Linked DNA regions of Arabidopsis thaliana. The protein of the gene in region 2 interacts with the protein of the main gene of each other region in a pairwise test. Each region holds a gene or a part of one and is shown on either strand. Other genes may lie near its edges.

Region 1 (10,111 bases), on a different chromosome or scaffold from region 2:
ATTACCATCTCGTAATTAAGTATAATGTCACATAGAAGATGACAATGATGCAGCTCTCAACTACCCGTACCTGTAAAACATTGTAACTTAAAACACACCAGGTGCCTACATCACATGCATGATACAGAGCGCTCGAGATTCCGCTGGATGTAAACAGAACCCACTCTGGATACTCCTGTTTACGACATGAATCAGCAGCATTTAGATGGAAAAAAGAAAAAAAACAAGAGCCCCGGATTAAAGTGTTAAACCAAGAAAATTACCCGCTGCCGAAGAGCCCAGTAAGCTGGCAAAAGAGCCGCTGCATTTGATGCGATGAGAGCAATAGACTGAACAATATGTTCTGCATCAGGTTTTACGCACATGAGTATACAGAAAAGTTGTCAAAGTTTCAAACACTGATAGATTAAGATACCTTGGTGTGACACAATTTCAATGCTGCAGTCAAAGCCTCCGTGGGTTCTGTCACAAGAACAAAAGCTGAAACACAACACAAGAATTTGATCTCAAGATAATGTACTTTCCATCATGTTTACATATTTTGGCAGACTCGAGATAGATAAAAAACCTGTAAGATGTCAATCCATTAGCGTCAAAAGCATATCGGCATTGCCCATAAGACGAACACCCTCTCGGGCATCTTTCGAGAGAAAGAGATACTAAAGTAGGTGAACCTCTGGAAGCAGCAGGAGTATTAGAGTCAATGAGCTGCCTTAACCCAAATGACCAGGTTCCTTCTCGAGCATACAAGATGTAGAAATCAACCATTTCTTTGCTAGAATTATACAATGAGAAGAACATTGAGCGGCTGGCACTTGTTCGATTTACATAATAGTAATCCCGGTCGTCAATAGTGGGCAATCCACCAAATCTAAGATATACTTCATACTGTATTGTGGAATCTGATAATAATCTGAAATGGATATGTCCACCAGAACCACCTTGAGGGATGTTCATGAGAAAATAAGTCCATGTGCTTGTGTCTAATTCTGGAATAGAGGAAAAGTTGCTGACGATGGGTTCGAGGGGGAAATTTGTGCTCGAGCCTGAAAGTGAAGCGTCATTGACCGGAAAATAATATGATTGAAAAGGTGTCAACCATCCTCTCCTCATAACTGCCTGCATAAAATATATCGTGTTCAACGATTCTAATAAGTATATAACTCAATCTTGATTTTGACATACTCACAAGCTTTTAGAGCAACTTACCTGAAGAATGTAGATTTGCTGCCCACAATTTGGTCCTGCTTTTCCTACAGGACATCCGAGTACTTTAACATTAATGGAAAAGCAGACCCTAGAACTGGAATTTGTGCCCTGTGCAAACCGGTTCTCCCGTCCAGATAAACTAATAACTATATACCATCGACCAGCTTTCGGTTTGTTAACAATTAAGGGAACTTTATGTATATCAGCAGCGTAATCATGCAGAGTCTCTGAAGCAAAGGCTTCAAAACGGGCGTAACACATGAGATAACTTTCATTGGAATCTACTTTGACATTGGATGCCATAATAACTAACTGTTCAGCTATTCCATCTACATCTAAAGCATATGTCTTCGTTTCAGCACCAGTCAGACAAGAACTAGGAAAAGAATCAGCGCAAGAAATAACACTTGCTGTCTGGTTATCGAACCGAGAACATGAAAGCGGATAAATAGTCTGGTTGCAGAAAGGCCCCCACATTGTAGCGGTTTTACAACCTTCAACACTAATGTTGGCACTAAATGAAAACGCAGAGGAGCGAACAATCTGTGCAGTATCCAAATTATAAGAAATCAAAATCAGAACAAACAAACACTAAAGGCAGAAGTTTTATAAAGGGAGTGTTACCATTTTCCCCTGAGTCCTAGTCGCCCCAATTCCGTTAAAGAGACCAACATACCAAGCTCCAGGAGATATCTGGAAACAATAACGTTAAAAAAAGAAAAGAAACTCATCATCTAAAAAAGTCCTAACACACAAGAAGTAATTTAAAACCTGTTCATTGGTCAATCTCAAGGTTATATTCTTCTGCATAGGGTAACACTGTTGTGCAATCTCACTATCTTGAGCTCTTTCAAAAGATCCATTAAAGAACCGTCCTAGCTCTACAAAACATCAAAAAAATATAAAAAAACTTTCTCAATTCCCTAAAATAGTAAGAAGGTATATGATCTCTTTGACCAGACAAAAGAAGCTAACTAGCATGTTGTTACCTAAATCGTACCTAATCCTTGAAGAGCGTTGGTTGAGGCATCAGGCAGAGGAGGACTACCATCTCGAAAGCATATAACAGGAAGAAGACTTTTGGAAATCTTCGAAATGCTCTTTGCAGTCTACATACAATAAATAGCAATTACTTACATATTTATTTGAATACCAAAAACAAAATTTGGAGGAGAAAGATCTGTAATACTCACGATGTCTACATCAGATTCAATAGCAACATTCAATGATGAGAACCATGGAGGCAAATCAACTGTACGGAATCAAACAGAGAATCAGATAGCATCAACCAAAAGAAGATAGTCCAAAATGATCATAATCCAGAAGCAACTGATCAGATATAACAAATCCAATTCCATTTGCTGAATTTCAAATCATCATTCAGCAGCTGAAAAAGCTTGAATCTCAGATTAAAACAGACCTCTGATGTAACGTGTATCGTAGGGTCTGACTTCGGATTCAGGGTACCTGAAGCTCGAGACCGTGAAAAAGTTTCCATTATTGTCCGCAGCATCTTGAAGACAATTACAGATCGAAAGAGCACATGAAAACACGACGAGAGTTCTTAAAAGCAGAAACAAAATCTCTGCCATTGTAGGTGAAACTTTCTCTGAGAATTAAGGGTTTTAGACTCTTATTAGTGTGAGTAGAAGAAGAAGAAGAGAGAGCATCATCACTCGAGAGAATTTTCGTCGTCTTGATTGTTGAATACTGACTTTTTTTTTACATTTGTTAAATTTTTCGTCAGTTTTATCTCACGCGCCGCAACGGAAGTGTTGTAGTTACGCGCTGATCGAACGGTTGTTAAATGATTGGGATTTTTGGTAATGAAGAATCTTGGCGCGTGTCTTTTACACGGTATATCGGCGAGATAGGATCTTAGATATTCGGTTTAATATTTATCTGGTTTATATGAATAATATAGTACGTGTTGGTCAGAGACAAGAGTCATATAGGAACTTATTTATATTATTTTTTCACAAGAGAGATAATTTTATTGAACAAGACAAAACATTAGATGGACTATGTAATGCCCCACAACAGAAAAATAACAGATATATATTAGGCCAAACCAAGCCCATAATAGAAACTGCCCATGAAAAAAAGATATTTTATCTTTTGTCTCTCTCTATACAAAAAGGCTTTGATATTAATTTCTTTTAAATTAATTGGGGTGAGGGCCTTGATATTAATGGGCTTTTAGCGCCAATGTCTAATTTATAATCGACAACGACAGCGTTTTAAAATCTTAGACAACGGTATTAAAGTACATTTGTTCTCTGTTTTCTTCAAAAGGAAAAATACTATAATTATCAACATACATACATATCTTAGTACTTTTTCAGAGAAAGCTTCGTTGTGTGGGCGTGTGATATTTCCGATCAAGACAATGACAAAACTCTTGGTTTCAACTTCCGATCAATCTATTTGGCAATAAGTTCAAAAACTGTAATTTTACTAAACGAACTATTACACATAATACTCTGTTTTGGTAAACAGAATTTTTTTAAAATGCTATCATATATGATCAATAGTTTAAGAAATTTGATTTAAAGAAACTTGAGCTCTGCAGGGGCTTACGATATGGATAAATATGTGTGTATCATCATAGCAATTATTCAATCAAAGATAAAATGAGTTTAGATTCAATATAAAGGAATCTTAGATCAAACCAAACGGAGCAGACTTTTAAAAAGGAATCAAATCATTCAAACATGTTTCTCTCTCAGTGGTCAGGATTGAATTTGACAGACTCCTTGTAGATAAGCTCCTTTATGTGTTCTTCTGTGCAAGAAGGATGTTCGAAATCAAAGCTGAAAGGAGTCGAACAGACCGGTTCTTTGGCCACATCATGGTGCGGTGATAGGTAAGCATGGCCAAGGGCTTCATCGACTACACACACAACACATGCAGGTCTAATTGATAAGCCAAAAGCAAACTGCAAAAAACCACATGAATGTTTTAAGGATCTTTGTGTTGTTTGTTACCTGAGATGCGCCGGTTAGGATCAAAGACGAGCATTCTCTCAAGCAAATCGATAGCCGTAGTGGGCATTTTCGGGAATCTAGCAGCAAACTGTTGTTTCGGGTATCGCGGAAGTTGCCTGACGTATCTTCTTGCGTTGTCACTGCGAAGGAAGCCGAGGCTGGAATTGTCTGGAGAGCCTACAAGCTAATATCAAGAAATGGATATTAAGTGAAATCAGAATTGGGCATTGCAGTTTAAGAAAAGTGTAAAACTGATGCTTTTTTTACTTTACTGGTATACCTCTGTTATAAGCCTAAGCTGATGAACATAATCTTTGCCTGGAAACAACGGTTGTCCCGTCATGATTTCGCCGAGTATGCAGCCAACAGACCAAATATCAATAGCTGCGGTGTACTCTGAGCAGTTAAGAAGCAACTCAGGAGCCCTGTACCAACGGGTAACGACATATTCAGTCATGAAGTCTGTGTCGGAAGTTGTTCTTGCAAGCCCAAAATCACCAATCTTTAGCTCGTTTTTCGAGTTAAGTAGCACGTTGCTTGGCCTTAGATCACGATGTAATATGTTGGCCGAGTGCACGTATTTGAGCCCTCTTAAGAGCTGGTATACTAGGAACTGTAACAGGAAGACAAGTAAATAGAATAAAGATCAAATCAGAGAGTTCCATGACTTTACAAATGATTAGAACAACACAGAGACTTACACGGCATTGATCACTGGTCAGTGTTTGGTTAGAACGGAGGATTCGCTGAAGATCAGTGTCCATTAACTCATAGACAATGTAGACATCATTGAAGATATCTCGTTGCGGAGGTCTTACAATATCTTTGATGGTTATAACCTAAAGAATCAAACCGAGGCTTGAAGATTAGAGTAAACGAAATTATATATAAAGAGCATTTGACCCTGAAGATCAGGAACACTTGATAGATCTAGCAAATTTGAGAAACTTAAAAGATGTTGTCAAATGTGAGAAATGATGCTTAAGGCTTACGTTCTCATGATCCATATGCCTGAGAAGTTTAATTTCACGTAGCGTTCTCTTAGCATCGATGATGTTATCAAAAGCATTACCGATCTTCTTAATAGCCACTTTCTCTCCAGTCACTGAGTTCACCGCAGCACTGAAATTCAAGAATCAAGAGCCTGTGAACATTCAATAGAAGGAACGCTTTCATAATTTATCAGACAAAGAATCAAAAGAACTTACCAGACAATACCGCAAGCGCCTCTACCAATGGGACGAATAGGAGGGACATACTTTCTGGAAACTTCAAAGAGTTGTCCATAAACGTTGTACTGAACATAGCGGCCACCGTGTGTCGGTACAACTTTGATGCAATGTTCGGTAGAACCAGAGCTTGATTCTCCAGACATGATGATGCAATGATCAGACCGAGAACGAGAGAAACCAAGAAGAAGGGCTTTTGTTGAAGTTGAAGGATCTCCTAAAGTATCTCTTGAAGACACTAAATCCATGTGAAGAGAGAAGCTTTTTTCAACTGTAAAAGATCTCTCAAGGGACCCGTGAATCTAAAGATCATGAAAGATTACATACGTGTATGGTAACAAGAAGCAGAGTCACTCGATATTAGCTCAATATTGCATTTTTCATTTGTTACTACTAATTGCACTTAACTATAGATCAAAGCCTCTGATTTGTTCCTTTGATTGAAACAGGTTTAGAAAGATTGGATCACTACAAAGAGAGCAGTGATTTTTTCAAGCCAAACAGATGTATTCTATATTTATATTTTATTGCAGAATTGATTTCATACAGTCACACATACAAGACCAACACACCTAAACGGAAGAGACAAGCTCGACAGATGGACTCAAAACAAAGAAAAAAGAGAAAACACTATTTATAGAACCTAAAGCTGCCTTTTGTAAGGGTTAAACTTGTTTGTTTACCTCACTATTTTAGTCTACATCTTCTCCAACTGCATTGCCAGAGATTGAGTCACTTGACCTAAGATTACAGAGCAACACATCGCGCCCTCTCAAAGTCAGTTTAAAGAAACTATCAACTTCCTCCAGTAACTGATCCAACCCTTGAGACAATTTCTCAGCTTGTGTCCCCAATTCCATAACATTATCTTTGAAGAATTCAACTTCGACAGGATCAACGCCATCTTGGATCATCGGGTATAGCTTCTCGACACTAGCATCAACGCTCTCCAGCTCTTTGAGAATCGTGGTTCTACCGGAAGACAACATGTCTCTGATCTCAGCATTTACAACACTCTGCATATCAGTAAAGACCTTTGCCCATAATGGTTTTTCAGAGACAGGTAAATCGAAAAGATCCTTGGTGGAATCAGACCAGGCTGCGGTAAATACACTGCAGATATAAACTGTTTGAACCTTCACACCATAAAAAGCTCGCATCAGAACCTTTCCTTTAGGCGAGTTCTTGACTTTAGGCAGACTCAGAGATTTAACAAGACTGTCTAGAACCGCACGGCAGTTTTCAATTCTAGGGTTGTTTGTATTAACATGTTGCCTCCAGCTATCAAGCGAAGATCGAGCCTGGAGATACTTCTCCCCAGAATCCGATTGTAAATTGTGCAGAACACACTTGAGGAAGAGATCTCCCTGGTTGAGACGTGTGAGCTCAGAGCTAAAGGCATTACAGAGATCTAGTAACCTAACGCTTATGTTGAGGTAAACATCAACCCATTTCTCTTCCCAATCAGAGACAGGAAGCTGGAGATCAGTAATGAGAGTGTTAATGTTCTTATGAGTCTCGCAGAGTGACTCCATAGCTAGCTTCATCCAGGATAAAGTGAGGATGTCATCTTTGTTCTTAGGCATAAGTTTCTTCAGTCTCTCTTCCAAACGTAGCTCAAAGCCGTTCAATAGAGAAAGTAGCCATGGCGATAAATCTGATCCCTTTGATGATAACATCCGAAAGGGATTTCCAAATGGGAAGAAACCTCGGGGTGGATCTTGTGGTCGGCTCATTTTGCTAGACACCTGAAAATGAAAAGAGAAATATTGTTAGAATAATGATAATGATTAATCATACAAACCGATTTGCTGTGAACTCAATGTATCTTCTGTGTTGTTGCCACACATAGAAGGACTAATCGAGGAACAATACAATCCCAAGTCCCAACCTTAAGAGTCCCAAAAAGCTGACAACTTTTGAGATCTTGAAAAAAAAGAAGTTACCACCTTTATTGAAATGATGTAAAATCAAAATTTGAAGATGAAAACAAACACATAATCAATTGTTCTAAGCCATAATCTACACTTGAAGATGTCCAGAACCAAGGAATTAGGATAAAAGTTTCAATCTTTCCAAAATTAGAAGAACCCTAGGAGTTAATTATCTACACGGAAGTTTTGAACACAGAAGTTCGGTACAAACTCTTCATCGAACAGTAAAATCTATCTTAGAACTAAACACACAAACTTCGATTTACAGAAGAACACACACAATAAAAGGAGAATTATAGATAACAAAAAAAAACTCAATTTCCACGAAACTTACCGTTTTAAGTCGCCGGAAATGAAGAAATCACAGGGAAAATCGTGTGGAAATGATTCTTCTAATGCTTCATTGAATTTTCTGAGTCGATCGGCTGAGAAAAATGTCTGGCGGAGGTCGAGTTTGATAAAGCTACGGCCCGTCACATAAAAACTAGTTACAACCTTACAAGTATACCATTAGTGAATGGCTGTTACGTTTTAATTGGTCACAGCCTTGTGTGTAGTTAAATTCTTAGCGGAAAGTGGACGGCTATAAAATAATTAAAAGTTTTATCGAAGGGCCAAAAATGAGACGATTTCGTGGGATTATAAAATAAGTCATTGGTCGATTGGCGTAGTCTTTGTTTATTTTAATTATTATAACCAAATCTAACGGCTAACTAATACATACCACGTCCTACAGACTCCTGTTATTACTTTTAAAAATAAAAACTGAGAAGATTTAATCGAAAATTAATTTTGACGATTCATTATTATTTTTGGTAGTACTTTGCTTTTTAAAAAATTGTAAAATCCTCATCAAAAAAATTTCAGCAACTGTGAATATTTTTTAAAAGGCATAACAACTTTATTTGTTTTACGTAACGAATTCCTTGGATTTGCGTAAAACATGGGCCTCAAAGCCCAAATGACAGCTGTCAAGGAACAAATCGGTCGACAAAAGTATGGACCCCACTTTTAATTTACATCCGGACAAAGACTAAAGAGCTGTCTTTATCTCAATCGTTTTTCTTGTTTCTTTAAGCCCATTAGGTATAGCTACCTCAATTTATGGGCCATCAGGTCCAAAGGGCATTTTTCCCAAAAGATTCCTAATCGAATTACGTCGATATTGAATACCTTATTGACTTTGAGACAACTCCACCATTGTGCTAGATAAAATAGGCCTTTTTAAAACTTTGAAGATAAAAAACGGCCCATAAACGTTGTGAAAAAGCCTCTCGCTGAAACAGAAGGTCTCTGTAAGTGTCTAATCGCGCGATGAACTTGATAACGGCGATGACCGGAGCTAAATTGCGGCCATACAATGCTACGATCCACTTGCTGCACTCCACTTTGCCCTTTCACGGCGAAACAACCTTCTTTCCTTAGGAAACAGCAACGTATTACCTCTGATCGCTTCACCTTTCGCGGTGGTGGTGGTGGCGATGCCGCCGCCGTCGTCTCCTCCTCCGGCCTCCGTGATCTCGTTTTCGTCGTAAACCCTCAAGGTGTGTTTGCCCTTTTACTCACTGGATGAAAAAAAACTGAGATTCGAAATTCATTGGATTTAAAAATGATGTTTTTAATATGAGAATCAATCTCGATGTGGAATTGAGGTTTAGTATTATCGTCTCTTGATTCTTTTCAATGTCTTTTATATGAGTCTAGGTGCTAATGGTAGAACAGCTAAAGAATGGAAGAAGTTGCTTCCTCACCTTCGATCTCGTCTTGGTAAAGACTGTAATGTGAGTTTTTGATTCACTTGCCTTTTTGTGCCCCTGTGTTAGTGATGCCATCTCCTTTCGCTTTCTTCAGTTCCTTCAACTGAGTTTACGTGTCTTCTTGTTTGTTTCTCCAGGTAAGTGAATTATTAACATCGGGTCCTTCTCATGCCATTGACATTACAAGAGAGGTAAGGAGTAGTGAAAGTAATATACTACTTTGCTGGGTACAGTATTCTCTGTCTTGTCGATTTGGTTTTATGATGATCCTCTGTTGCTTCTAATTATCCTCTCAGGCTATAAGGGATGGTGCAGATGCTGTCATTGCGGTTGGAGGTGATGGAACACTTCATGAGGTAGGAATTGCCATTTTTGGTTGCTAGAACTGCGCTCTGGAGATTCTTAGCTCCACTCATTCTGTCCTTTTTTTTTTTATCTACAGGTTGTTAATGGTTTCTTTTGGGAGGGGAAACCTGTCGGTTATCTCAGTGGGGAAGCTAGTCGATCGACTGCACTTGGTGTGAGTAGCTTGAGTTGACTTTTTGACTTGTTTTTGTGTATATCTCTTGTGGAGTTACAACATACAATCTTAGTCCATCCTTTTTATTTTGCAGCTGATTCCCTTAGGTACTGGCTCAGATTTTGCTAGAACATTTGGTTGGTTAGTTTTTGCAACTTCTGTTTGTTGTGTTTTTTTGAAACTTATGTTGAGCCATATGTTAAGTGTATCCTGCATTCTTTAGGAACAATGATCCTTGTGAAGCAGTGGAGCGCATTGCTAGAGGTATGTCACTGAATTCATTTGAGGAGTTAGGACTTAGTTACTACTGAACTGTCTATCTATGTCTCATATATCACATAACCAGCATTTTCTCAGGGATGCGATCACGGATTGATGTTGGTGTTATCGACAAGGAAGGAAAGGATTTGCATTACTTCATCAATGTAGCTGATGTTCATTTGTAAGCATATCGTGGAAATTTTCATCTGTGATT
Region 2 (13,081 bases):
AATAAGATGTGATTAAAAAAACAAGCTTACCACATAGCTAGATTGATTAGGCTTTTCTCATTTCATCAACCATTATAGTTTTATTTTTAATAATTCTATTGTGAAGCCCCAAAAAAGCAAAAATAACTAATCTCGTGATGTATACACTAGATAAGGTAGACGAATGCAATAAAATTTATTTTATATCTACCAACAAACTTGTAGCTACTAGCTACTTTTGTGATCAAACACTTGAAGAAAGTCATTCCCAAATATCGTATAATAAATAGGTAATGAAAATTTATGGATTAAAAACTCAAATTTCTGAGTAACAACAAAGATATTGAACAAGTAAAAAATCCTTTATAAATTAAAAAAAAAAACAAACAGATCGTATGCTCTCACAACTCAATCAAAAATCATCTCAAATAGGAAATTAAATTTGAAAAAAAGAAAAGAAATTAAGAAGCATCATCATCATCATCATCATCATCATAATTCATAAAATATAGTAATGATAAATTAAGAAGAACACTATGGTTTTCTTTTGCCCACGTAAACCTGTAATACTCCATCAGATCCTCCAGCCACTAGGGTACACTGGTCCACACCTGATTGCCTCCAACAGACGCTACTCACGAACCGCTTATCCGAACCAGAATTCATACCAACTGGTTCAAACCCATCTACCCAAACCGGCTTCCCCCATCTCCTATCGTACACAAACACCCTGTTGTTTTCCGATCCACAACCAAACAACGCGCCGTTTCTCCACACAGATAACCCCACGAAGTTCCGATTATTCACATGCCCTTCGTACGTGCGAATCACGCGCCCATCCTCCACGCTCCACAGCTTCAAACAACCGTCCGTACCTGCCGTCACCACCGTCCCACCGTCGAGGAACCTCACATACGACACCGTTTTCGTATGACCTTGTAAAGTCAACGCCGGGTCAACGAGTTTCCTTATATCGTAAACGTACCCTTTCCGATCAGCGCATCCGACGGCCACGGCTGGTCCACCGGAAGGATCGAACTCGACGCAACAAACAGCACTCCGGCAAATCCCCGCCGGTCGTACAACACCGACAGATTCTTCCGGCGGACACCTCGGATCCCATACTTGCATAGTCCCGTCATCCGATCCCGACGCGCCCACCGTCGAAGCGCCGCCGTGACGAGTGTAATCTACGCTCCATACACGACGACCACCGTGCTCGTCCCTTTCGAATACCGGCGTCCTCTTCTCAAGATCGTACTCCATCACTACGCCGTCGTAATCTCCCGACCCAATAACCCGACCGCCCGACCCGGGTCTCCACCGGAGACTACTAAGTTTCGCCGGAGTACAGATGTAATATTCGCAGGCGGTGGCTTGATCGACGAAGGAAACTCCGGTACCGGAGACAGCGTTGTTACGTAAAAGAGAAGGGAGGCCGTAAAAACGAATCTTTCTTGAAATCCCGGCGGTAGCGACGATGTTATCAGTGGGATCGAATTCAATAGCTCCGATAACGTCGGAGGCGGAGGAGGAGGAGGAAGATACGACGGTGGAGAGAGAAAGATCCCATTCGTATCTAGCTTCTTCTTGTTGTTGTGCTTGTTCTTGTTGCTGCTTGTGAGGATGAAGAGTGTTCATATGAAAACAGAGTAATGACTGTTGCTTCTGGGGTTTCGGACCAATCGAAAACCAATCCCATTCAAAAGAATTTTTTTTATTAATAGTTTAATACATTAGAATATAATATTCATTTTAATATGGCTTTTTGTTTTTCCCTCAGTAAATAATTGGGTTTATTACTAATCCACGTATGAATTTTTATTCTATGAGTTTATCTATTCCTATGCAAATGTCAGAGAAAGGTCCCATGTGAATTCTATTTCAGGCAAGAAAGTGTGAAGTTTGTTGTCGTGGCTACTTATATAGCCAAACATGGCAAATTCTTGTATTAAATTGATTGACTTGTAGTAGGCGAAAGGACGTTAACTAAATGTTGAATAAAAAAGATAGTAACATTTCGACTACTATCACAATAAATCTTCACTGACCATTAGATTGAGGTTGTTCGTAAATTACAATGATGAGATGATCGTAATGGTAACACCGAAACATTAAAAACCAAAAACAAAACGTCTATTTGTACCACTTACTTTTTCCTACACCAAAACTAACAAAGTAAATAGTTTCTTATCAACGTTTGAATTTTAACTTACTTTGTTGTTGTTTAGTTTTACAATCGTAGTAGGCATTTAGGATTTGATTTGAATTACTTTGTTGTTGTTAGAAAATGTACAACTTTCGACGATGTGATTGAAAAAGACGTAGCATTTTCCTATCTGGTTACTTTCAATTGCTTGATTCACCAAAAAAAATATAAATAAATTATAGCCTTCATGGCTTCAATGCACTTATACAATCTTTTTATTTTACAGAATAGTCAATTTTCTTCTATATCAAATCAACTTTCAAAGCTAGAAAGAGACATATACGCTTAAAATTGCCATATCGTATAGACGAAATCGTTTGATACCAAATACTCCATATGTTCCTAAAAGTTTGATGCTCTAGCTTTTGTTTTTTGTTTCATAAAAATTGATTTTCTAGCATTTTTCTTTATTTTTATTGTCTTATAACACTAAGAAAAATGTTAAAATGATTAAACAATAATTGAGTTCTTAATAAGCGTCAAAATCCAAAACATCAAACTATTATGAATAGAGGGAGTACTAGTTTATCTTGATTTTGTCATTCGGATCAATAGTAGAAATGTTTGGACGGATTCAAAAATTTTCACTTAGATGATCATTTTATATCCGGGATAATAACCACTCACAAATAAGTGGTCAACATGTATAAATATGCCATAACCATTCTCGATAGTTGTCCAATTCCTAATGAAAATCCGAATCATGTAACTTATTTGATTCTCGATATTATATTATTTACGAATGTCGGGTCTAAGAAGCATTTCTATTATATTATTTACAGGTATCAAAAACAGATAACGGTTCTCTATAACCATATAACCAAGAAAAGATAAGCATAGATCACGGGGTTAAAATATCGATATTGATACTACGCGTCCGATAAAGAAGAGCCGGGGCAGATTTTGAGAGAGAGAGAGAGAGGAGAAAAAATCGGTGGTAGGTTTTAGTTTTATGAGAGAATTTTGTGGACAGCAAAGTAAGGACGAGTCATACGTGTGTTATGTACCACCTTTGGTCATTGTCCTCTTTTTCATGTCTCTTCGTTACTTCTCAGCCTCAAGTCTTTTATAACACTTGTGCTCCATGTTTGGACCCACACTGCTTCAAAGAATGGATTCGATTTCCATTTAATGCCATTTATTAATATTTCTCCAAACAACAAAATACGTGAACTACCTAACATATAAAATTTCACCAACTAAAGCGCAATCTTAACGTCCGTTACAAAAGTGGGCTTCTACACTTTTTGAAGAAACAAATTAACTTGTTATTCAAGAAATTGGTAAACAATAAACAAACAAAAATGTAGGAGAGAGGACATCGCTTAAGATATAATATCAGAAATTTTTTTGAAGGAGTTCATTACAAGTTCATTGGTGCTTCTGATGTGCAACTTTCCCATGAAAAAGAAGGCAGAGAATAAAGTGGAGATACAAAAGCAACTTAAAGGATGACTTAAAGGAGAGACTAGTCATTAACAAAGGAATGGATAAATTAATAAGTAGTTGGAAAAAAAGCTAACACCAAGTTGGTCCACAAAGACGATCCACCGTTATCAGATTTCCCACATAGATTTAACATCAAATTAGATTTGCATTTATGTTCCCCAATATTTCAATCAATTTTTACTTTGTCTGCTTTCCATAGCCATTCTTCATACATATACCACCTCATGATTCCTTCATCTTTCTCCGTCGTCTGGCACATCACGCACGTCTTGTACTCCATACAAGTCACAAATGAAAGTTAACAAGAGTTCACTTTCATCAATGTGCACGCCGGAAAGAATGTCAAATTTTTTTAGTTTATTATATCGAAAATGAAAGGGAACTTTTGTTTGATTACGCAATCAATTTTTTAGTTTTATGACATTTTTGGGCCAAATCTTACTTTCTTAACACAAAGCACAAGGGAAAAAGAGTTACAAATGTTACATTAGCTTATTATGACGTTTCCCAGTGACTTCTATTCAGCTTTTCGGCTTTTTATTTACTTGCGTATACAAGTACAAAGATCGTTACAGTAAAAAACAAAACAAAACAGATCAATGTTTTTGTTCAGAGATGTACGATTAGAGAGACTTTAACCGGGACAAACCATAGATAAAACCAAACCGGACTCTCTAACCAGGATGAGATTGGAAAGAATTGGAACTAGCACTTGAGCCACGGCCAGTGCTGAGTTTAAGAGCCTCCAAAGCCTTTTGAATCTCCATGTTCATTGCACTGTCAACACTTCCCGAAGACAGTTTCCTGTGAGATTTCTGGAGATGAAGCTTCAAAGAACTGCTGCTTAGACCTGCGTTCTTTCCACAAACCGGACACACTTTCATTGTCGGTTTCCTCTGTCTCCACTCCATTGATACTTTCCCGTGACATTTCTTGTCGAGGTTTATTAAGATCCGCGCAAATCCATCATTCGGTTGAGCTCGTCTATGAACTTTCCTCAGTTTGCTCCATGCTTCTAAAAGTGTGAGCTTCCTATTTATTGTTCCCACCAGTAAACAAATGAGAACAAGTATTGAAAATTTCCAACAAATTTTATTTGTCCCCAACAACTTACTTTTGGAGCATTAGGTAAGCAAGCACTACTGTTGCGCTTCTACTCCGACCTTCGAAGCAATGAACTAAAATCTTGCCACCAGTTTCTTCGCCATGCTTGATGAAATCGAGAGCTTCTTGAAAGATGCTCTCGATATTTGAGTCTTCATCATCGGTTATCTGGTCAAAGGGAAGACACAAGAAGAAAACGATCATCTTTATAGATGCATTTTTTTTTACCAATTCCTTTTAAGAGACATATAAGACAGGTTCACTTACTGAGAAGTTTTGGTACTCGAAGAGATCCGGGTATTGAGTATCCGATTGCCCGATTTCATTAGCGCACAAACATAGAACATGAGTTATACCTAAATGCTGAAGAGTGTAAATCGACCTTGCAGCCAATCCTCCCCCGATAAAAAGATTTTCTTGTATCATTGATGGTTTCTCTGTATTAGCAGCTTTGCTAATCAATGATATCCTCTCAAGAATATGCTCAAGTCTAACCTGTTATCAAGGAGAATGCAAACAAGAGAGACAATGTTTGAGTTCAGTTGCCAAAAACTATATTATATAATGAAGATCATATTCAGGATAAAAGGAAATAATAAAACTTCATGATACCTTTAGCTCATAAGCATCTGTGCAACTGTTATTATCACTGCCCTCAAAAAAACCAGTGTTGAAACCGTTCTCTTGGCAAAGTTTCATCACTTCATTCCGCAGTGTTTCATTCCACTGGTCTAGTTCTTTATTAGACTCAGCATCAACCTGGACGCACCATGAAAATATTGAGAGTGAAGAAAGAGAAAATGGCTGAGAACTTCCATCCAAGAAGACAAACTTTTTTTTTTATAAAAAATCTGAACCTACTTTACAAATTAGAACATAGTGATCAAAGCTCGAAGCGACAAACCTTTGCAAACTTATGGAAGTCACGGAGCTTTGCTGCCAAACGCTGACTGCTAAGAGATTCTCCACCTTTACCGGATCTTCCGTGCCAACTTTCACGTGACTTAGGCGAAGACCCGTCTTCTTTGTTTTCTGAATTTGGTGTCCTAGGAACTGATTTTTGCATATCTGACTCACTGTGATCAGAGCTGTTATCACTAGGCACCCGATCTTTTGAGGGAGATGGATAATGATTCACCTCATGCCCATGAGTATGTGAAGGTGACTCAGGAACAGCAAAGTCTTCTCTGTCAAAATCTGCACACATTGTTTTGTCCATCATACTAAAAAATGCCCGAAGCAACACATCTAATTTCTGATGAAGGGTGACAAGGAAGATGTGAAACTCTTGCAAATCCCTGAGACCAGCTCGGAAACCATTTCGAAACTCGCGTACAACTGGTGTTACTACAGATCGAACATTAGATGTTTCTTCACCATCTTCTGCCTGTGGATATCCTAAACTTCCTTCTGTTATTTCATGTAACAAATTCGAAGAATATTGGCTACTATTGAGGAGTAACTCAACTAATCTTGGATAAATTTCTTGGTCGCTTGCCCGTTTTCCAGCAGGAGGCCGCCGTGGAACACCCGAGTCTATGGCAACGAGGTGAAAATCGGCAGCTACTGATCTATCAGACATTGGACTCATTAAACCAGTATCATATGATCTAGGTGATTCCGTTATATCAGAAAAATCAGAAGCCTGTGAGACCAACATTTGATCACTGATACTCAACCTGGATCTGCTATCTACGGAAGAAGCTCTTCTTTCCCTTTGAATGGATCTATAGTCCTTTGGATGGTACCGTTTGATGGCGGAATCAAAAGCTTCATCAAATGAACATTCATGATGCTTTGCAGAAGACACAATTCTGTCTGTCAGTAACAGATTTGCCGGGTTGCCACGCCATCTCAGCTGACGACACGGTAATCTGTCTTCATTCCTAATTACTAGATCTAACACCAAGATTCTCCCTAGAGCTGCAGCAGCTCTCTCTGCTTTTTCTTCAGTTTCAAAACTACTCATGCTCTCCAGCATTGGACATCCATGAACATAACTGTAATCACATATAGAGAATCCTGGGCTAAGAAGAGGGGTTCTATACAAACATCACATTAAAAATTGTAAATTTGAAAGTGCCTACATGATCCTATTAGGTAAGACTAGATTTTACATAATCCTATTAGGTAAGACTAGATTTCTGTTCAGCTATTTCTCTCATATTTATTATCATTTAAAGCAAGATTAGATTTCTGTTTAACTGTTGTTATCAAATTTTATCCAATAAAATAATTCCACCTCATATTTGTAATTTAGATCTTTCTTATTTTATAATACAATTTTTATATCTAATAACATAACATCTTTTATTTTTCTTAAAATATATTATCAAATGGTATATTCATATTTCAAATGGTTTACTATCATCTAGTTAAACACTAATGCAAAGGAACAAAAAAACTGTCAACATTATGCTGCTGGTCCAAGTAAAAAATGGAGAAAAGTGATAAAGAATAAAGATGAATCTTGTGCTTTCACCTCATTAAGAGAAGACAACGGCTGAGCTCAAGGGCTTCCAGAAGTTCTGAACATGTCATTTCACCAACCTCGTCCCCCTCCGAAGTCGCTTTAGCTTGTGCTTTTTCAGTGGCTTCTTTGATCAGTGTCCACTCAGGATTACAGCTGTGAATTACTCTAGCCTGTCGCATGATGATTACTCATTACTTGAAAATTCTAGAAAGAAAGTGAAATGAGCAAAACCATTACTACATTTTTAAAAAACTACAAGAAAGAAAAGAAGCACCTGCGGAATCTGCACCCCTAGCCACTTGGAAAACTCATAACCTAGACGTTCTGATTGCGTGGCCATCCTCGATGATGCAAATTTAATAACTGCTGCTTCTTCCTTACGAGAGGCATCTTCAGAGCTGGAACTATTGAACAGGGCAAAGAAAACAACTCCTCCAGAATTCACAGTAACCTGTACAGACATCTAATAGTGTCAAAAGATCCTCCTAGCATCACCAGTCCAAGATCATAATGATATATATACCTCAAGTGGTTTACTCTGGTCTTCTTCAGAATGATCAGTGCTACTACTATGTTCAGTATGATGAAGTGAAGACAACATATTCCATGAAAAACAGCTCGAATCAATATCCACAGTAGAAGCTTTACCAAGCCTTTCCCACAAACTAATCTCTGAACTCTGCCTACTTGGTGGACTTTTAGGATCAGTATTCCTCTCTCCTGCACTGGATAATACTTGTATCAACTGACATGAAGACTAATATCCTAATTTAGAAACCTTTGTTCTGATATACTCATAAGATTCCAAAATCATAATCAACAAACCAAGTACTTGACAAAAAGTCAGAGAAAGTGTTAACCTAGTGACCATATCATCGATGCGGTGAAGGCGGTGAGGGAAGCCAGAGGATCCGTAAGTAGCACTTCGTTTACGAACTAAATCCAACCATTGAGTAAACCTATAAGCTGGACCAGATGCTATATCTCCTAACATGTACAAAACCTGCAAATTCCAAAAGTCTTCCAATTTTTAAGACGAGACTATTAATATAACCCTAAAACCTAAAACGAATTTAGGATCGGAGAAATTTACACGAGAAGTGACGGTGAGAGGAAGAGGAGACTCGTGCTCGTCGTGAACAAGGTATAGATCTTTCTCTTCGTCTTTTTCCTGCGATAGCACCATAATATCAGATCAGAGAAAAAGGGGAAAAAATCAAAATCAAAATCTGGCTCTGCGAAAAGAGGGAGAGATAAATGTGGGGGTAATGATGAACGCAAAAGGTGGGGGTGATAATGATAGATTATTAAATTTGTGGGGGAAAAATGAAGGATGATTACTTGAGAAAATGGTTGATCTCGCTTCTTCTCAGGTTCCGCCATTGCAAAAGCTTAGGTTCTGTTTAATTTTAGAAATGTCTTTTTCTTCAAATGTCAGCTTTGTATCTGAGAAGAGGAAAGTCTCAAGGTATCTTTAATTAATATGAACTTGTCGGACGAAGAAAGAAGACGGATATTTAATTTCATAAATTTATTATTGTAATAAAGACTCTGATCATTTTATTCTCATTATTCAAGATTTAAAAAAATAAACATATTATTATTTACAGAACTGTCTTCTAATTTTATTTTATTTCCGTTTTGTGTTATTATTTAAAACTATATTTTGTATGAAACTATTTCGGTCGAAATCAACAACATTTATACAAAAATGGTTTTAGATTTTAAAAAATATTCACTAAAGTTTATGGTTTAATCTGAAAAAGTTCAGTCTAATAAAATAAAATATTTATAGAATTTTTTTGTCAACTTATTTCTGAAAATTAATAAGCATAAATATTAGTAAAAAATCAAAAATATATACTTTCTTTGTTTTACAATATAAATTGTTTTGGACCAAATTTTTTGTTTTACAATATAAATTATTTTCAAAATTTTATGCAAATTATATATTATTTTAATACTTTATAATTATTTCTATTTTTAAAAAATAAATTGAATTTTTTAAAAATAAATATTTTTAATCTACATGTTTTTATCTAAACCAACTTGTATAGCGAAATCTCATATTGAATTAACAAAAATCCTGAACAATATGTACCAATCCACTTCGAGTTACCTTTTGTTGTGTATTAGTTTAGGCCCACACTAATATATTTGACTTTCTTCTCTGTCTTATATATTTAGCTAAAAGCAGACCTAGGGTTTTCGTATCCGTTCCAGTCACGGACGACTTCTCCGTTCTCTGAACTCTCCTAAAGCCTCTATATTCATCGGATTGTTCATCTCCAGTAAACCAATCTCCAGGTAAATTGAATCTGAATCTTCACCAAAATCCTTTGTAATCTCAGAATCATCGATTTTATCACCTTCTTATAGTATAGATCAATCCTTTTCGTAAATCACACGAATTCTCTCAATTACCGTGTCACAATTCCGATTGATTTTTGCAGTTTGGTGAATTTGTAAGAATGAGTAAACGAAAACGTCCGGATCCGAAATCATCGGGAGGTGATCTAAACGAGCCACACGAGAAGAAGCTTCTGGATCTGATTCGAATAAACCAAGGAAGAGGCGCAACTATGTTCGAATTGAAACGCGAGAAAACGATCCCAGCAACTATAGTTACTCGATTGATCGCTTCTCTACGGAAGAAGAATCTCATCAAAGAAGTAGCAAACATGAACAACAAAGGTGTCAAACATTATCTTGCAATGGAGTTTGAGCCTTGTAGTGAACTTACTGGTGGTGAATGGTACACTGATGGAGCTCTTGACCTGTCGAAAATCGAAGATTTGAAAGCCAAGTGTGTGATGATTTTGGAGAGGCATAGGCAGAGGGTTGTTACTTTGGAGGTTTTGTGTGGGTATTTTGTTAAAGAGGAGAAGCTGAGTGTTGATCAGACTAAGGAGATACTTAAGAACTTGATTTTGGATAATTTGATCATGGAGGTGAAGAGTAATGGAATGAATGAGTTTGCTTCTACGAGAATCGGAGAAGTTTGCTACAGGTTGACCGGGAAAAAGTTCGGTAATGGCGAACCGAGAGCTGGAGCTTTTGCTTCGATTCCTTGCGGGGTTTGTCCGCATATAGCGATCTGTTCACCTGATGGTGTTATCTCTCCCACTACATGTGTTTATTTTCAGAAATGGTTAGACTTTTAGCACTCTCTTTTTTTTTTTTTTTTTGGGTTTAAAACTTAAGATTTTAGATTATGATGATTTGTTTTTTCGGTTATACAATAGAGAATAATGCTATTGATATCTTTAAATTAAGAGTCAAGGTTGTGATTTGAAAGAGTAGATGTCGGAGAAGAAGATGGAAGAAGCTGATCTGTTTCTTTGCGACAAGCTTCCCATAATTGTTGCTCTACTCCTAGTTTCCTTAGCTCTAACAAACCTCGTTCCACTGTAAAGAGAACAAGTTAATGTGTTATTAAAACTAGAATTAGGACACAGGGGAAATCAATTGAAGAAGTTTATTACCGTCAACGGCATCTTGTGAAGTCGGAGATTTTCCTTCACTACGACTGGTCCAAAACTGGAAACGTTCATCTGCAATGTCTTCTTCCACACTATGCAACTTGGCTCTACCCCAGAAGTACATAAGCCATGCCTGCATTTATAACCAAATAACGTCGGTTCATCAAGATTCATCGCGATAAATTTAGTTACCAACCACAATATACCAATAATTACCATCTCTTGTAACAAAATGTCACATTATAACCTTATAGTTATGAAATTATAGGCATAAAGAAACTACCTGCTTAAAGGCAACATCTTCTTGTTCCCCTTCTTTTATCTCTGCATTTGAGAAATGTGATAACATAGTAAGGATTTCATCAAGTTTGACTGCTGATATGATATATTGTGCATGTTTGGACTCTCTTCTCTTACCGTATGATTCTACAAAACTGAGTTCTCCATGCCCTTTGGAATCTGTAAGATATGGAGAAAACAGACTATTGATCTCGATGACTAGTAAAAACAGACTATATTTGACACTGTACTAATTGATGATATAGCATACATACCTTGACGAACCAAACTCGGTGTTCTCTTCTGTGCGAATGCAAGCATAACAGCATCCTCAACCTAAATTTCGTTGTGATATGAGAACTTAATTATGTACTTGAAGATACCTTAAAGTAAAGAAACAATGGTATATTACCTTTAAGGATGCCAGCTCTCTCAAACCCATCTCAACTGAAAGCATACTTTCGATATTTCCTTCTCCAGGTAGATCACTTAAAAATCTAGCAGTTTTGCTCTGATCACTCCCACCTGATCAATTCCAAAGGCTGGTAAGTAAACAGTATCAAGGAAACCTTGGCCATAGCAAATATTAAGACTAGCCTTTGTCCCGAGATAACTCCTTGGTCTTTTGTGCTGCAGATATGACCAGCTCAAATGGAAGAGGAGCCAGAGCCGACCATTTTTCATGCCTGGATGGTGCTATGTCAGCACAAATGCCTACATAGGTAAGCCACAGGAAAACCAAATATCTAAGAATTTTAATAAATAAACTACCTCACCACAACTACAAGCCTTTGACCAAAATTAGAGAGCTGAGTAAGTGTATCAATGAGAACACGTTCACAAGATGGATGCATTACTTACCATGCTGCACTGCCAAACCCCAATACCGGGCAAGCCAGCATCTCTTCAAGGCTACTTCCTCCTAGATGATCAATTTTTTTTTCCATACAATCAGAAATCTTTAAACGTGAGTATAATGAGACTTGAGCTTTCTAAACATACCATTTCGTCCTGTGTTAAAACCATTCTTTGAGTCATTATACGAAGAGCCTTTGCTTCTGATTCCGCTTCTTGAAGGCATTCCGCAGCTGTTTCTGCCTCATCCTTCAAGATCTGAACATAAAGAAATGATTACATAATGCAGATCAGAATAACAAACATATTCTAATACCAAAATATTAGTAGACCTACCTGAATTTCTGAACGGAGGGAAACAACTTCCTCCTTTTTCCCATCTTTTTTCTCGTTAGCAGCCTTAAGAGCAGCCTGCCAGCCAGTCAGTCTTAATCGTTAGGCTTTACAAAAATGTTTATCTATAACTTAATGTGGCATCATAAAAGTACAAAATGGGAGCTCAACCAAAGAAGCGATTAAAATTTTATATATCTCTACACACTAACCTCACGTTGGCGCAATGCCGCTTCCTTTCTGAAGGAAATCACAGTTCATCATGAGCTTTATAGTTACCGACGTATATTCTAAAGAAGAGAAAGATAAAGAAAAAGAGGTCACAGGCTCCTTACCTACTTAACAATTTAGCCTCCAGAGACACTCCTTCTCCAAGAGAAGCAACCTTTTTGGGACAAGAAAAGAAAAGGGACAGATGAATCTTTGAAAATATGCTAGCACCTACACGCATGTCATTCTAAGTAAAAATAAAATCTTGAAATGTATGCAGATTCCATGAAATTTACTTTTTAAAAAATATAGAGTACAAGTTCATTGCATTTTCATGCATATATGACCACAAAATATTGATATGAGAGCATAACTTCATTGCATTTGGTCAATCAAACACACTAAAATGTTTCTAACGGCTTAAATAAACTAACATAATGGTACGTAGCTACATTATAAGATACATACCTAAAAATACAGAATATAAAATACAAGACAAGAGAGGCTAATGAAAGATTAATTTCAATTACTATTGTTAAGATAATGTAAGCAAGTTCAGAATAGTTTTCTCTCAAAACTCAAGAAACAAATTCAGCAAAGATAAACTAGTGATAACAACTGGATCAAAACCTGTTTCTCCAGCTCTCGAGCCCTGGCTTCTGCTGCCTCACGCATTTCTTCTGCACGGTGAAGCTGTAATCAAGAACA

The links.
Region 1: the proteins of PHS1 (region 2) and MPK12 interact in a two-hybrid assay, tested with the Arabidopsis thaliana proteins (one study listed by BioGRID).

What each region holds. Positions count from the first base shown.
Region 1 is NC_003071.7:18,942,200-18,952,310, forward strand, and holds MPK12 (mitogen-activated protein kinase 12), read right to left. Parts: upstream 5,869-10,111; 5' UTR 5,674-5,868; coding exon 5,405-5,673; intron 5,319-5,404; coding exon 5,189-5,318; intron 5,036-5,188; coding exon 4,898-5,035; intron 4,810-4,897; coding exon 4,477-4,809; intron 4,381-4,476; coding exon 4,197-4,380; intron 4,125-4,196; coding exon of another isoform or gene 4,102-4,124; coding exon 3,935-4,101; 3' UTR 3,738-3,934; downstream 1-3,737. Other genes in the region: AT2G46060 (transmembrane protein-like protein), read right to left, coding at 71-175, 264-343, 416-480, 569-1,119, 1,210-1,752, 1,834-1,902, 1,981-2,090, 2,210-2,318 and 2 more; BPS2 (BPS1-like protein), read right to left, coding at 6,118-7,161; LCBK2 (Diacylglycerol kinase family protein), read left to right, coding at 8,720-8,903, 9,064-9,140, 9,254-9,307, 9,413-9,472, 9,559-9,636, 9,731-9,777, 9,860-9,900, 9,994-10,078.
Region 2 is NC_003076.8:7,993,825-8,006,905, reverse strand, and holds PHS1 (dual specificity protein phosphatase family protein), read right to left. Parts: upstream 8,710-13,081; 5' UTR 8,598-8,709; coding exon 8,556-8,597; exon of another isoform or gene 8,401-8,555; coding exon of another isoform or gene 8,386-8,400; coding exon 8,308-8,385; intron 8,218-8,307; coding exon 8,075-8,217; intron 7,940-8,074; coding exon 7,738-7,939; intron 7,666-7,737; coding exon 7,489-7,665; intron 7,385-7,488; coding exon 7,224-7,384; intron 6,742-7,223; coding exon 5,646-6,741; intron 5,501-5,645; coding exon 5,354-5,500; intron 5,237-5,353; coding exon 5,009-5,236; intron 4,910-5,008; coding exon 4,752-4,909; intron 4,670-4,751; coding exon 4,312-4,669; 3' UTR 4,058-4,311; downstream 1-4,057. Other genes in the region: RUP2 (Transducin/WD40 repeat-like superfamily protein), read right to left, coding at 514-1,620; AT5G23710 (DNA binding / DNA-directed RNA polymerase), read left to right, coding at 9,686-10,378; AT5G23700 (coiled-coil protein), read right to left, coding at 10,486-10,622, 10,700-10,829, 10,980-11,155, 11,251-11,311, 11,388-11,500, 11,573-11,689, 11,837-11,897, 11,978-12,079 and 4 more. UniProt on the Arabidopsis thaliana protein: Probable dual specificity phosphatase that binds and dephosphorylates MPK18, modulating the organization and dynamics of cortical microtubules.